Nothobranchius furzeri: one gene and its partners. The protein of the gene in region 1 purifies or fractionates together with the protein of each later gene. This does not show direct contact. Links are inferred from orthologs where the notes say so. Each region holds a gene or a part of one and is shown on either strand. Other genes may lie near its edges.

Region 1 (4,190 bases):
TTAATGAGAGACAGCTGGTGAAAATGATGTGTGAAAAAAATCAGATGGAGTAACACACAATTAAGCAAATGTGATACAATTATACTAAATACATGTATATCAAATGCAGTATTTTTCACTTTACTTCTCCCTTCTCGTCAGGGTGCTCTAGTGCCCCCTATGGACGAGCCGCCACTGCAAGTGTCAGACTCAGTTTTCCTCTCCACTGTCACTACGTGCTTGCTTAGTATGAGGGGCAGCTGTAAATGCCTTGCAATCAGCTGGGTTTCCTCAGATAGAAAACCTTTGACTAATTGGGATAATAACTTGAACTCAATGCACTGTTTACTTTGTAGGTTCAATTGGAATGTTTGCTTTGTTAATTGTTTTGGGATGATGACTTGTGTTGTTAATTGGTGCTTTATAAATAAACAGAATTGAATGTTGATGTGCTGGTGACTGACCACAGTTGTCAGATGGCAAGGTGGTTCAAGAGCCATCTTGTACCACAGGGTACAACACACTTCTTTGATGTCTGTGTGTGAACAGTAAATATTGTAAATCAAATGTTACCTGTTTAGGAGTGGGCATGGGTATATGTGGGTCTGTGGTGGCATCAGCTCTCTATCCTGGACTGCTCCGTGTCTGATGGCAACCATGATTAGGAGGCAAAATGGAAGTCACTAGTGAATCATGTTCATAAATATGATCCACCAGAATTTCCAGTTTACCTCCATCCTTCATCAGGACAAAACAGGAATGAACTGCGGCTTTTCCTACCCACAGCAGTCAAGCTGGAGAGAGCAGAGATTCCAACAGAATTAAAGCAGAACACAGCATACTCATACTCATTAGATGCTTTCCACTCCATTCTGAAATTGGCTCCCTAACATACAGAGTTCTCATACATAGGCACAAGTACCATGCAAGTGTAGTTCAGCTGGAATTTAATGTTTATTTTAAGTATAATCAAAGACAAGTATATATATATATATATATATATATATATATATATATATATATATTACAAACTTATTGTTACATTTTATTTAGAGAAAACCTAACTATTCATTACTAAGGGCCAATAAATGGCACTTCACTATGCATCTTTGAACACCTGGAAATCATAACAGCTAACAGATCGAAAGTGACCTCTAAACCCATACATGAGTAAAAACCAAAACGGGTATTTATCCTAGGTTTAAACCGCGCAGTCTTGTTTGGATAAACATGTCCTCTTCTTTCCATCATGTAGTGAAACTATTTGCATACCATACTATTATTCACCTTCAGTGCGTTTAACAAAAGACGTTTAAAGTTTTTACTTTATGCAACACACCACATGGGAGAGGGTCAGATTTGACCCCTCCTCTTCCGCGTGAGATCAGAACGCTGCGGTCCAAGGCGCGCGCGCGCGCTCAGAGATTTGGCGCTGGAGTCAGTATTCTGCAAGCCAGCAGCACTCACAAACTTCCCTCTCCCAGACTCTCCCAGTTCACTGACGCGCTCCCCGTCCGTTCATGGACAGTCATGTCTGAAGAGGAATGGAAGGTTCCGGAGGAACTTTTTAAAGATGTCAAATTCTACGTGGTCGGAGACATTGACCAGAAGGTATGCAGGTCCTGTTAGCTTCCTTTCAGCAGCTATGTTGGTAGCATGCTAACTTGCTAAACGGATTCCATCTAGATGAAGCTAACCATCATGCTAACGCGACAACATGCTACAGTGGGATCGCTCCTCTTTGTGTTGTCAGTTGTGTGACGTTTTCCTTCAGGTTCGTTGATCGCTCATTTTGAGCTGATCGTACTCTGCGCTGCACTTTAGCTCAGCCTTTAGACTGAGGAGAGACTCCAGCCTAGCTGCTAGCTTACTGTCTACAGTGTGGGGGTGGTGGAGCTGAGGAACAAATGTCTGTGTCTGCATACAGGTTGTTTATCTGCTCAATGCTTCATGGAAACGTTTCACGTTAGCTTGTAACTGTCAACAATGTTTATACTCAACGTATAATGGCTAGTGTCTGGGTGTTGACTATAGCGCATGCGTCACCGCTGTTTTACGCGCTGGTGCCAATCTCCTGCACTCTGAGGCCTCCCACGCTCTGAAGCCCCGACAGCGCTAGGTCTTTTCCGGCTAACGCTTCTATTCGTTCCACGCATGCGCGAAAGAAAATAAACATCGGCTTACAATTTGATCACACACACACACACACACACACACACACACACACACACACACACACACACACACACACACACACACACACACACACACACACACAATTTGTTATATCAGTTCTTATTGTGGCCAAACCCAGATTTATTTCAGTGATCAGATTATTTATGTTATTATCAAATAATAACATAATAAGCCTGCAGATCGTATTCCGTTGACGGGTTGGGGTTAATAAACTCTTATTTTGAAAGGTTCTGGGTCACTTTGTGGAAACGTACCTAAAATCTTTCCAGCTATGATTTATAATAAATTATAGCAATATTTTCATTAAATAATTGCAGCGTGTTTAGGTCAGAAACACCTAGTACAGTAATACCTGTTTTAGTGAACCTGTTTTCACAGCATTCAGGTTTGGGTACACACTACTGAGGGTTAATAGTAAACAGTCTGAGCACACACCAAACCAGGCACCTATAAAACCCGTCACATCATTTTATTTTCCCAAATTTTCTGTTTTATAGTTTTATAAAATCAACATTTTTCATAAATCTGTGTCAGTTTACCCTACCAGAATAATAACCTGAACGCCATGGTAACAGTCCAATAGAAAATTGTTAATCCAAATTGTAGACATTATCTACATATTGATTTGCTATAAGTTTTGTTCTTTGCTTTAATCTCAGTTAACTGTAATGTCCCCTCCTGTCTCCCTACTGTTCCTACCCGCCCCTATCCTGTCGCATCACACATGAGAAGATTTTTCTGTCATTTGTTTTAATGACTTGGTTTTCGCTGGTGTTCCTTCTATCTTTTCAGAGACAATCATTGTTTGTTTTGGTAAATAAATGAACTTTTTGTTTTAAAGAAGAAAGGCCTGACAGCTTCCTTGATGTAACAAAATTGTTGTCAGCTATCTTTAGTAGCCAATAAGAAATGCTAATTAGTGTCAAACTGATTATTTAGTGAATTAAGTTTTGTAAGTAGAAAGTCAAAATTAAAATCCAACCTAGATAAAACCCCTGTAATGGTTGTGTGGACTAAAACACACACATGTGGTGACCCTGTGATGCTTCTATCCTCCTGATGCTGCAGGTGGTGCAGCTGCTGAAAGCAGGAAAGGGGAAGGAAGTGTCCTACAATGCCCTGGCTACTCACATCATAGCTGAGGATGGAGATAACCCCGAGGTGGGCGAGTCAAGAGAGGTGTTTGACCTGCCTGTTGTCAAGGTAACAATGTTGTCAGTGTCACAGCATGTTTCCACCTCCCAAAGAAAGCAGCAATAAAAGAGATTGTAATGATTTAAATTACATGTTATTTAATGAGCCGTAAGGCGTAGGATTCCATAGGAAATATGAAATCAACCTTATGGATCTGTGAGGTTATTTAAACCAGAAGATTGGTACTTTTTATTGCAGGGATTAGATAACAGCTTCGTATTCACTCAGAGACAACAGAAGAGAGAGAGTCAAGTTCAAAAGTCTAAAAATTTATTACTAAACAGATTAAACTAGACTGACTTTAACTAAATGTATGGTGTAACTAAGGTGAATGAGACGGAGAATGGTGTAGTGTGGATTGTTGTTCAGAACCAGCAAATACAAAGAAGCGATTAGTTCTGATGAGAACCGAAGGTGATGTTTTCGCGTTAAGCTTTGGTTAGGAGGTTCATAAACACATTCGACGCCATTTGTCGGTCTACGTACCCTTAAGGTTGGTTTATGCTTGACACGTCCGCGAGGTCCGCACGGCTCCGCGCGGAAAAGTTGCGTCATTTTAACAACCACGCCCCTCCACCGCGTCTCCGCACGGCCCAAGATTTCCGCAACGCGCACCTCGGAAAATTTCTAACCACGCGAACGGTTGGACGCGGAAAAACATGGCGGACCGGCAAGATCTAGTATGGCAGAGGTTGGTAAATACAGACATTTGTATGCTTCAGCTCTCAGAGATCACCGTGATCAACATGTTGTTAATCATTCTTGGAGAGAAATAGCTCGCACTGCCGGAAAAGACGAGGACGCTGTTAAAAATGCTGGAA
Region 2 (3,990 bases), on another chromosome or scaffold:
GCTCCTGTTGGCCCATAAGCAAACACGCTGGCGTTTTGTCCTTTCAGTATATTTGGTAGAATCGACTTCACTGATGAGAGGAAAACCTCTTCCTGTGTTGTGTCCTCTCCGTGGAAAACATCGAAGCTGGAACAAAAACCAAACCATGTTTAGAGTCAAATGTCGTGAGGAGAGGAGGACACTTGGGAGAGTGATACTGACTGGTATTTCACAGTTTCTGTTGCATTCCTCCAGTTGACTATCTCCAGGTTCTGGGAGTCCAGGCCTCTGACACACGGACCCTCGTGTTTATCATCTTGTTTGCTCATGTAAGGCCGCAGACGAACCGCTACCCGAACCCGGGAGGTCTTCTTGTTTCCACCATCTGCTACCAACACACGCTGCGCCATCTTCACACAAACAAAGGCCTGGATAACGAAAAAGCCAGAGTGATGTTCATCCACTTTATCAAACTCTATGCCACGCGAATATTTAGTATAATACACACCAGTAAATGCATGAACAGAGCATAAATGGAGTATTTGAAGGTAAGCTCTAGGTTTTCATCATTGCGTCACGAGAAGCAAACACACGAAAGGAGGTAATGTTGTTTCCAAACTAATGTTTCCTCGAAATCTGCCACTCCGCTTTTTTAAGTTTATTGGGGAAAGCTTACCGTTAAAAACGTCTTCCAAAAAACGCGTTTTTATCGTCCAAACATTCCCAGCTTCTCCTTTTAACAATGGCGATGGGCCAAAACTTCTAACTGAAAAAATTTTAAACGAAAAGACTGAGACCGGAAATGGGTTTTAACCAATCAGAGCTCGCGTGAACGCTGGCGCCTTTCAGCGATCTCATTAAGCGCTAAATAATTCATAAAACATAATTGTAGTTTTGTTGTATTTAATAGTATATTTTAAAAACTAGTATATTGAGTAAAAGTTAAATTAAAGAGGTTTTACTTTTCCCCTCCAAACAATACGAGTCGTTTAGCCACGGCACAGCTAACAGGAAGTTACGTTTAGCGTAGATTTCCACTTCATCTCCTTTCACATTTTAGACAGTAGAAGCCCTGGAATGACTTAGCCATACGCATTTAAATCAGCGGGATTTGGAGCCCGGTTAAACGCGACAACATCGTCAAGCAACCTATTCAGCCAAAATGGCGCTATGTTTATGTCCATGTTGAATCTTTTAATGCACTTAGCTAGCCTCATGGAGAGCTATGATGATCCCATCACTTGGGAATTACTTTAAAATCAAATTTTAACGTGACCAACGCTGACTCACGACAAATCGGTAATAACAATGAAGGATTTCCTTTATTTCTGCGGTGCGGTTTGACGTTAGCTAGCCCAGTAGGAATAAAACAAATAAACCTAAATATTCTCAAATTGCTTATTACGCTTTAGTAACAGGCGTAACTTGACTCGTTACCCGTGTAAATAATAACTGCCATTATCTCCCATTGCTAATTATTATCAAACATGCTGCTGTTTCGCAGATCCTATTAAAGTTGTCCAGCAGCAGGTAGGATGCAGACTGAAGTCACCAACTCTTCTCTTAGAGAGGGTGTTGAGGCTCTAGGTGTGAATGATCCAGAGAAATCTGCTGCAGACCAGGAGGAAGGCGGCCTAGAGAAGCAACAGGACTCAGAGATGACAGCTGTCACAGAGGAGAAAGACACCACTGCAAAGGATGACACAGGTAACTCCCTTAAAGGATAAATAACTTTGTAAACTCTTGGAGTCAGAAATCCGTCTGATTAGCACCAGATGTGGCCAAAAGCAATCACTCAAAGGCTGTATCAGTAAATAACAAGCCACATAAAGAATAGGGCTGCTCAATTGTGAATAATAATCAGAAATATTGTGTTTTTGGTCAATATTTAATTCCCAAGTATTTAACTAGATTACTTCTTCAGTTAGGACACACTTGTATTTATCATTTGCAGTTATAAAAAAAATACACCAAAAAAAGTCAAATGATGCCACAAACACACTTGACACACCAGACCTTGTAAAATGATCTGTGTTCACTTTACTCAAATTCTCCTTACTTCTATGTTTTGAACGAACGAACTTTTGAAATAAATACTCAAAACCATAACTCGTAATAGCAGAGCAATCATGTGATGCTTAAAATAGCTAGAGTTCACATTTTAAGACAAGTGCAGATACAGGATTACACCAGCAGGTGAAGGAGTGACCAATAAAACTTATGAGGGTTTAAGTATCTGAATTTACCACAGTAGAATTAATCTAGGACACCATGAATAGGAAAATAATTAAACTCGTGTTTTGTAACATTTAGTTGTTAAAACACAGACACCAGCTAAATAAACTAATTTCTTCTGAGTCAGTCTCATGAATAAAACATGTCCAGATATCCAAGCAGGAAGTAAGTGGGCATCAAAGTGTCTTTTTTAAATACCAACATATTACACAGGCTTTGGAAGATGCAGAAGTGTACTTCATTAGTAAAGAAGAACAAAATGAGAGTGCTTGCAACATAAAATAAGACAAACATAAATAACTTCTTATTACATTGTGTCAAAAAATACATTTGTGTACTTTTCTGTCTTCTCAGATGAGAACACAGAGGTGGTGGAAGGAGGGACACAAGAGAATGAACCTCAGGGGGAAGCAGGAGGGGATGCTGAAGAGGGGAAGCTGGCTGCCGGAGCAGACGACGAGTGGGAGCTTCCCTACAGCGACGAGGAAATGGAGGACCCCAAAAACTGGATGCCTGCTCCTCCTGAGATCAAAAGACTTTATGATATCCTCGCTAAAGGGGAGATGCTGGAATTGAACTTTGTGCCCCTTCCTAGAAGGCCTCCCACACCTGAACGCACCCCTTCACCCGAGAGAGACGAAGAGGAGGAGGCAGCAAAGGAAAGGGAGAGGCTGGAAAGGGAATGCAAGTCAGTAGCTCTCCTTTCTTTTTCTTATCTTCTGTTATTTGGATAAATTTGATTTACCACTCCCCCCCCACCCCCCCACCCCCAGGCCTCCGTCTCCAACAGAGTTTGACTTTGATGAGGAGCAACTTCATTCAACTCCTAAAAACTCCTTCATAAACAGACGCAGAACACCAGGTTTGATGATTTATTTTTTTATATCCTGATTTCCTGGGTTCAGCGAGGAAAGCCAAACTGTTTCCTCCCTGCATTCCAGGCTCGTCAGCTCGCTCCTCTGTGAAGAGAGAAGCTCGTCTGGACAAAGTGCTGTCGGACATGAAGCGCCACCGCAAAATTGAGGAGCAAATCAGGCGCACGGGCAGAGATCTATTCAAGACCGAGAAGAAGGTGGAGGAGGCCCTTTCCCCAAACAGCCAGAAGGAGCGGGAGAAGGAGAGGGAGCGAGACAGCAACCCAGACACCATCTTCTCCCCGAGACAGAGGAGATACTGAAGTATTCAGTCCCAGAAGCAATCAAGAGCTTCTCAGGGCTCTCGCAAGACTTTCATTTTCTAATGTTCACGTTTTGTATGTTTTTTGTATGATGGCAATAAAGCTTTTAACTTTTAACACTGTTAACTGGGTCATGATAACTAATTAAAAAGAAGTTGGGTTTAAAATCTAGAACCTCAGTTTTCATGTTAAGGTGTACATATAAGAAGGCAAATCATAATCTGAATCTAAATAACAGAAAAGGACTAAGTTCTTCCTTAGTGATCAACTAACCCTAACCCCAACTTGAATGCAGCTGTGCTCAGTTTTCTTTAAGCTCCTGGGACCCAAACATGTATTTGGTGTGATTTAAAAAAAAAGCATGTAGCTATTACAGATTAGTCAACTGTAATTAACAGAAACAAAATTACGAAAATTAAAACTAAATAAAAATTTTGTCAAATATCCTAAAAAAAAGGAAAGACAATTTTTTAAGTCAATATCAAGTGTCTGTAAATAATAACAAAAAGGTCTAAGTAGAAGTAGCAGAATAAAAAGGTAAGGTGCAAGGAGCCAATTTCCATAAATGTGGGCCCTAGAAAGGTGCAATAAGTAAGAAT
Region 3 (4,052 bases), on another chromosome or scaffold:
AGTCATCAAAATCTCACAGCAAACTGCCATTTAAATAAAAATCCACTTAGCTTTCTGTGAGTTCACCTCACATCTGTTTGCTCGAGTCACACGGTACAAGGTTTTCAAAGTAAAAGCCCACCCAGCAGTGGCACTAAAGTTAGCTGCAAATGAAATAATGTAATTGCTGAACTTATGAGAGGAATGTTTGAGAGTATTTTCTCTATCACTGTTTAGTCAGAATTTCAGAGGTAAATTATTGAGCAATAAATGAAATCATAAACCAATAATGTAAAATGTACAAAAAAATGCATAGTGTGCAGTACATGCATTAACAGTCAACTTATTTTTTAATGTTTTTTGTCAATTATTCCAAATATTACCAAGGATGTTGCTAGATGACAAGTGAAGAGACTTGCTTTGTCTTTGTCTAACTGTCCTTCCCTTGCTTGTAGTGTGGCATGTAACTGTGATTATGTTGTCTTGCACAGCTGCTGGAGTTTTACCTTCTTTTTGAGAACATGTTAGGTGATAACATACCCAGACAGAGATGTTTAACAGGAATGTGATTTCCACATCTTGGTTTACTACTTTTACTGAGATGGTTTTATTGATTTTAAAGTATTTCTTATATTGTTACTGTTCTTTTTGCATTCTTAATATAGTTTTAGTGGTTTATTTGCTGCTTTTCTTGAAAATCATTAGAATTATTTGAGAGAGGGTCACCCTTGTTCTCTGAATGGGAATTAAAACAGTTTAATGTAAAATCAATTTTTACATCACTGTTTGACTGTAGATGTTTTTATTCCTAAAATCTATATTCAGCCTGGAACTCTTCGGGATGGGTGTCATGTGTTTTTGGTGCAATTAAGCGGAATAATAGAAGTAAAATCGAACACGTTTTTCTCTCACACTAAATTGATCAAATAGGTTTCTAATCTTAGAGTCTTGTCTTGTGTACTGTTAATGCACACATTTGCACACCTGATGTTTGATTATTTTGTGTTTATAATTGAAGGAAAAATCGGTTTTGTTCAAATTTGTGAAATAAAAATGTTTGCACATACCCACATAAGCAGTGTTCCGCAATTTGTCATCATACTTGCATTTAATACAATTTGAAAAATAGATAAAACAGCTCAGTTTATTCAGGACTATTTAGGAAATAGTCATGAACTTGTTAACCTAAGGAGTGCGTTTACCTTTTGAGCTTTTATTTTGAAAAAGAAAACCGGAAACAACCTTTGTTAGTTAGCTTGCTTATGACATTCATCCTATTTTGTTAGCCTGTCTAGCAAACAGATGTCGACTAGTTGAACGTATTCGTATATGGATATGTTTGGTAAGGTCTTTGTATATTCCTTTCTCCTTGTTTTTATTAACGAAAACTGTTGAAAGGCAAATTAAACCAGCTACGGTTCGCTGCTTGGATTCATTCGCGTCTGGAGACTGACATCTAGCTACATAGCTAACTGATGCTAACAGGATTTTTCGGAAAACCAATAGGAACCACTTTCAATTTCACTCTTTCTGTGTGCTGCTAAAACGTATACATTTGAAATGTAAGTGTTAATTGCACCACGATGAAAATGCACAATTTGGTAAGAAACAGAGTTTACTTGTGGATTTTGTTTGAATGTTAGCTTACTGCGTTAAGGCCCACACTCCTGCAGCGCCGGTGACTGAAACCAGGATGATCATCATTATAAAAATATATTATATTATTACTAACAAGTTTAACTCCCATATCAAGAAATCTCACAACTCTGAAAGTAATGTGACTACCAATCAGAGCACCTCTGCTTAATAAGCTAATCACCGGTCAGTGATGTCACCTCCAGGTGTCTGCTTCATTGAGTTACAAACTCATTTATTTGCTTCTTTTTCTGGTTTGCAAATAGAAATTATGACTTTTTTTGCTTGTCTTTGTTTTACTCGAATCGAATGTTATATAGAATACTCTTCAGCCTCTAGCAACTTACTATAACTGTTGTTTCTTGGCTGTGTTCAGGGTTTCTAAAACAATTAAAGAGCAAGTCACCCCCTACAAGAAACTTATTTCACTCCCTCTTCATGTTTGAAAAATGCAACAAATGCTGTTGCCTAGCAGACCGAGAGGGCGGAGCCACTAACAAATACACACACACACACACACAGGCTCACAACGGCACTGTGACATCATAATGTACCAGTTTACATCATAGCATACCTCTTAGCCAATAGCGGTGGCAGATTTAAATTCAAATGCAGTGCAGAGTTTTTACCTGACAACGGCGCAACATTGACAGTTTTAGGCAGAATATTTCAATTTTAACTAAGATGCACTGAAGTACCAAATTATTGACTACACGTGTCTGCAGCACATTTAGACACACATTTATATAGTTTATCAGCAAAAAAAAAAGTAGATTTGGGGGTGACTTGCTCTTTAAGAACTGTCGAAGGTCTCAATATATTAATGGGAAATTAAAAATATTCTAAGATGAGCTGTTATGTTCCCAAAACTTTCCATTTTAAATGCATTCTACGAAATTGTAGAAAATTGGGAACCCATAGCGTAAGCAGCTTTTTACTTTAAGCTGAAACAGTTTATAGAAAAAGCATAATTTATCAAATAATTATTAAATTAATCAATACCATAGACTTTTCTGGGCAGTACATACATTTGAGATAGGCAAAGTATGGAATAATAGTATTTGATAAGAAAATGCTGTAATCTAAAGTTTGAATAATCTGTAATTACAGCATAAAACGGTTTAGACACCACTCCTAACAAGGAAGGGAGGATAGCTGCTGAACATTCCTCATCCCAGAAGACTGCGTACATGGAGCCTGATGGTGAATCGGACAGAGACTCTGGTGTTGGAGAAGATTCTGGAGAAGACGCAGATAGCTCTGAGAAATGCAACGTAACAGAAGAAGTTGGACCCATGGAGCAAGAAGACACTAGAGAAAATGGAGAGGAGGACTTCACAGTCTTTGTTGCCTTTCAAGGAAACATGGATGATGAGAACTTCACTCAAAAACTAGAAACTATCCTCAATGGGATACCTGATGTTCTTAATTTGGGTTTGTGTTTATTTTTATTCAATTTGTTTTGTTACTTTGTTTTATTTGAGCTCATTTACGTGTATTTGATTCAAAAATATATATCTTGCACTGACCTGTTAAGCATTTTCCAACCAACACTAACTAAATACACTTTATTTTAGGCCCAGAACGGCTGCAGCCTAAACATGTTGAGCCGTGGAACAGTGTCCGTGTCACATTCAACATTCCCCGGGATGCTGCTGAGCGACTCCGGTTGTTGGCCCAAAACAACCAGCAGCAGCTCAGAGACCTGGGTATTCTCTCTGTGCAAATAGAAGGTAATAGCTCAGTCCAAAAAGAATTCATGCAGATCTCCTCCTTTTGTCTTCATAAAAATTCATTTATGCAATGATTTAATCTTGGTGTTCAGGAGAGGGAGCAATTAATGTGGCTGTGGGACCAAACAGAGGACAAGAAGTCAGAGTGAATGGACCAATTGGTGCACCTGGTCAGATGAGAATGGATGGTGGCTTTCCAGGTCAGCCTGGCCCAGGTAAGTTTTTCCAAAAGTTTAACAAAAAAATTAACAGTACTCTAGTCTACTAGTAGAGATTTTGGCTTTACTGTCCAAACGTGATCACACATGAATGCTGTCGAAAGCAGCAGCAGCTTCAGCGCAGAGCAAGTTGATGAGAAGACGAAGACATAATTTATACTGGCCTGGTTTAGGTTTAAGGAGTCTGATGCTGAGCAGAAAAACATCCTCTGTAAAATATTCTGGGCGACAGTGAAGTCATATCAACGCTTGTTAACGCTAACGCTAATTCCCTTATATGCCATTAGCTTCTAACATATTATTAACACGCAGGTTTCCAAACTTTCATCACAGTAAGCTTGTATTTTATTTTAAAATTTCTTCATCTTTATTTGGTTCATGTGAATTTTTGTGTTGCATTGTTTCTAACAATGTTTAACATAAATATTACTTGATATTTTGTATTTTTTTAATTAGTTTTGAACATTAAATGTTATTTAAATGGTAT

What was found.
Region 2: the proteins of paxip1 (region 1) and pagr1 purify together in Homo sapiens (affinity purification with mass spectrometry; 6 studies listed by BioGRID and IntAct, with this or other methods). This does not show direct contact. The link is inferred for Nothobranchius furzeri from reciprocal best matches to the Homo sapiens genes PAXIP1 and PAGR1.
Region 3: the proteins of paxip1 (region 1) and ncoa6 purify together in Homo sapiens (co-immunoprecipitation; 6 studies listed by BioGRID and IntAct, with this or other methods). This does not show direct contact. The link is inferred for Nothobranchius furzeri from reciprocal best matches to the Homo sapiens genes PAXIP1 and NCOA6.

What each region holds. Positions count from the first base shown.
Region 1 is NC_091751.1:66,100,626-66,104,815, forward strand, and holds the start of paxip1 (PAX-interacting protein 1), read left to right. Parts: upstream 1-1,364; 5' UTR 1,365-1,509; coding exon 1,510-1,590; intron 1,591-3,243; coding exon 3,244-3,378; intron 3,379-4,190.
Region 2 is NC_091756.1:34,661,682-34,665,671, reverse strand, and holds pagr1 (PAXIP1-associated glutamate-rich protein 1), read left to right. Parts: upstream 1-1,130; 5' UTR 1,131-1,278; intron 1,279-1,483; 5' UTR 1,484-1,514; coding exon 1,515-1,686; intron 1,687-2,568; coding exon 2,569-2,902; intron 2,903-2,987; coding exon 2,988-3,076; intron 3,077-3,155; coding exon 3,156-3,391; 3' UTR 3,392-3,508; downstream 3,509-3,990. Other genes in the region: kinesin-like protein KIF22, read right to left, coding at 1-126, 202-389. UniProt on the Homo sapiens protein: Its association with the histone methyltransferase MLL2/MLL3 complex is suggesting a role in epigenetic transcriptional activation. However, in association with PAXIP1/PTIP is proposed to function at least in part independently of the MLL2/MLL3 complex.
Region 3 is NC_091755.1:60,747,872-60,751,923, forward strand, and holds the start of ncoa6 (nuclear receptor coactivator 6), read left to right. Parts: upstream 1-1,192; 5' UTR 1,193-1,321; intron 1,322-2,724; 5' UTR 2,725-2,804; coding exon 2,805-3,048; intron 3,049-3,191; coding exon 3,192-3,347; intron 3,348-3,439; coding exon 3,440-3,562; intron 3,563-4,052. UniProt on the Homo sapiens protein: Nuclear receptor coactivator that directly binds nuclear receptors and stimulates the transcriptional activities in a hormone-dependent fashion. Coactivates expression in an agonist- and AF2-dependent manner.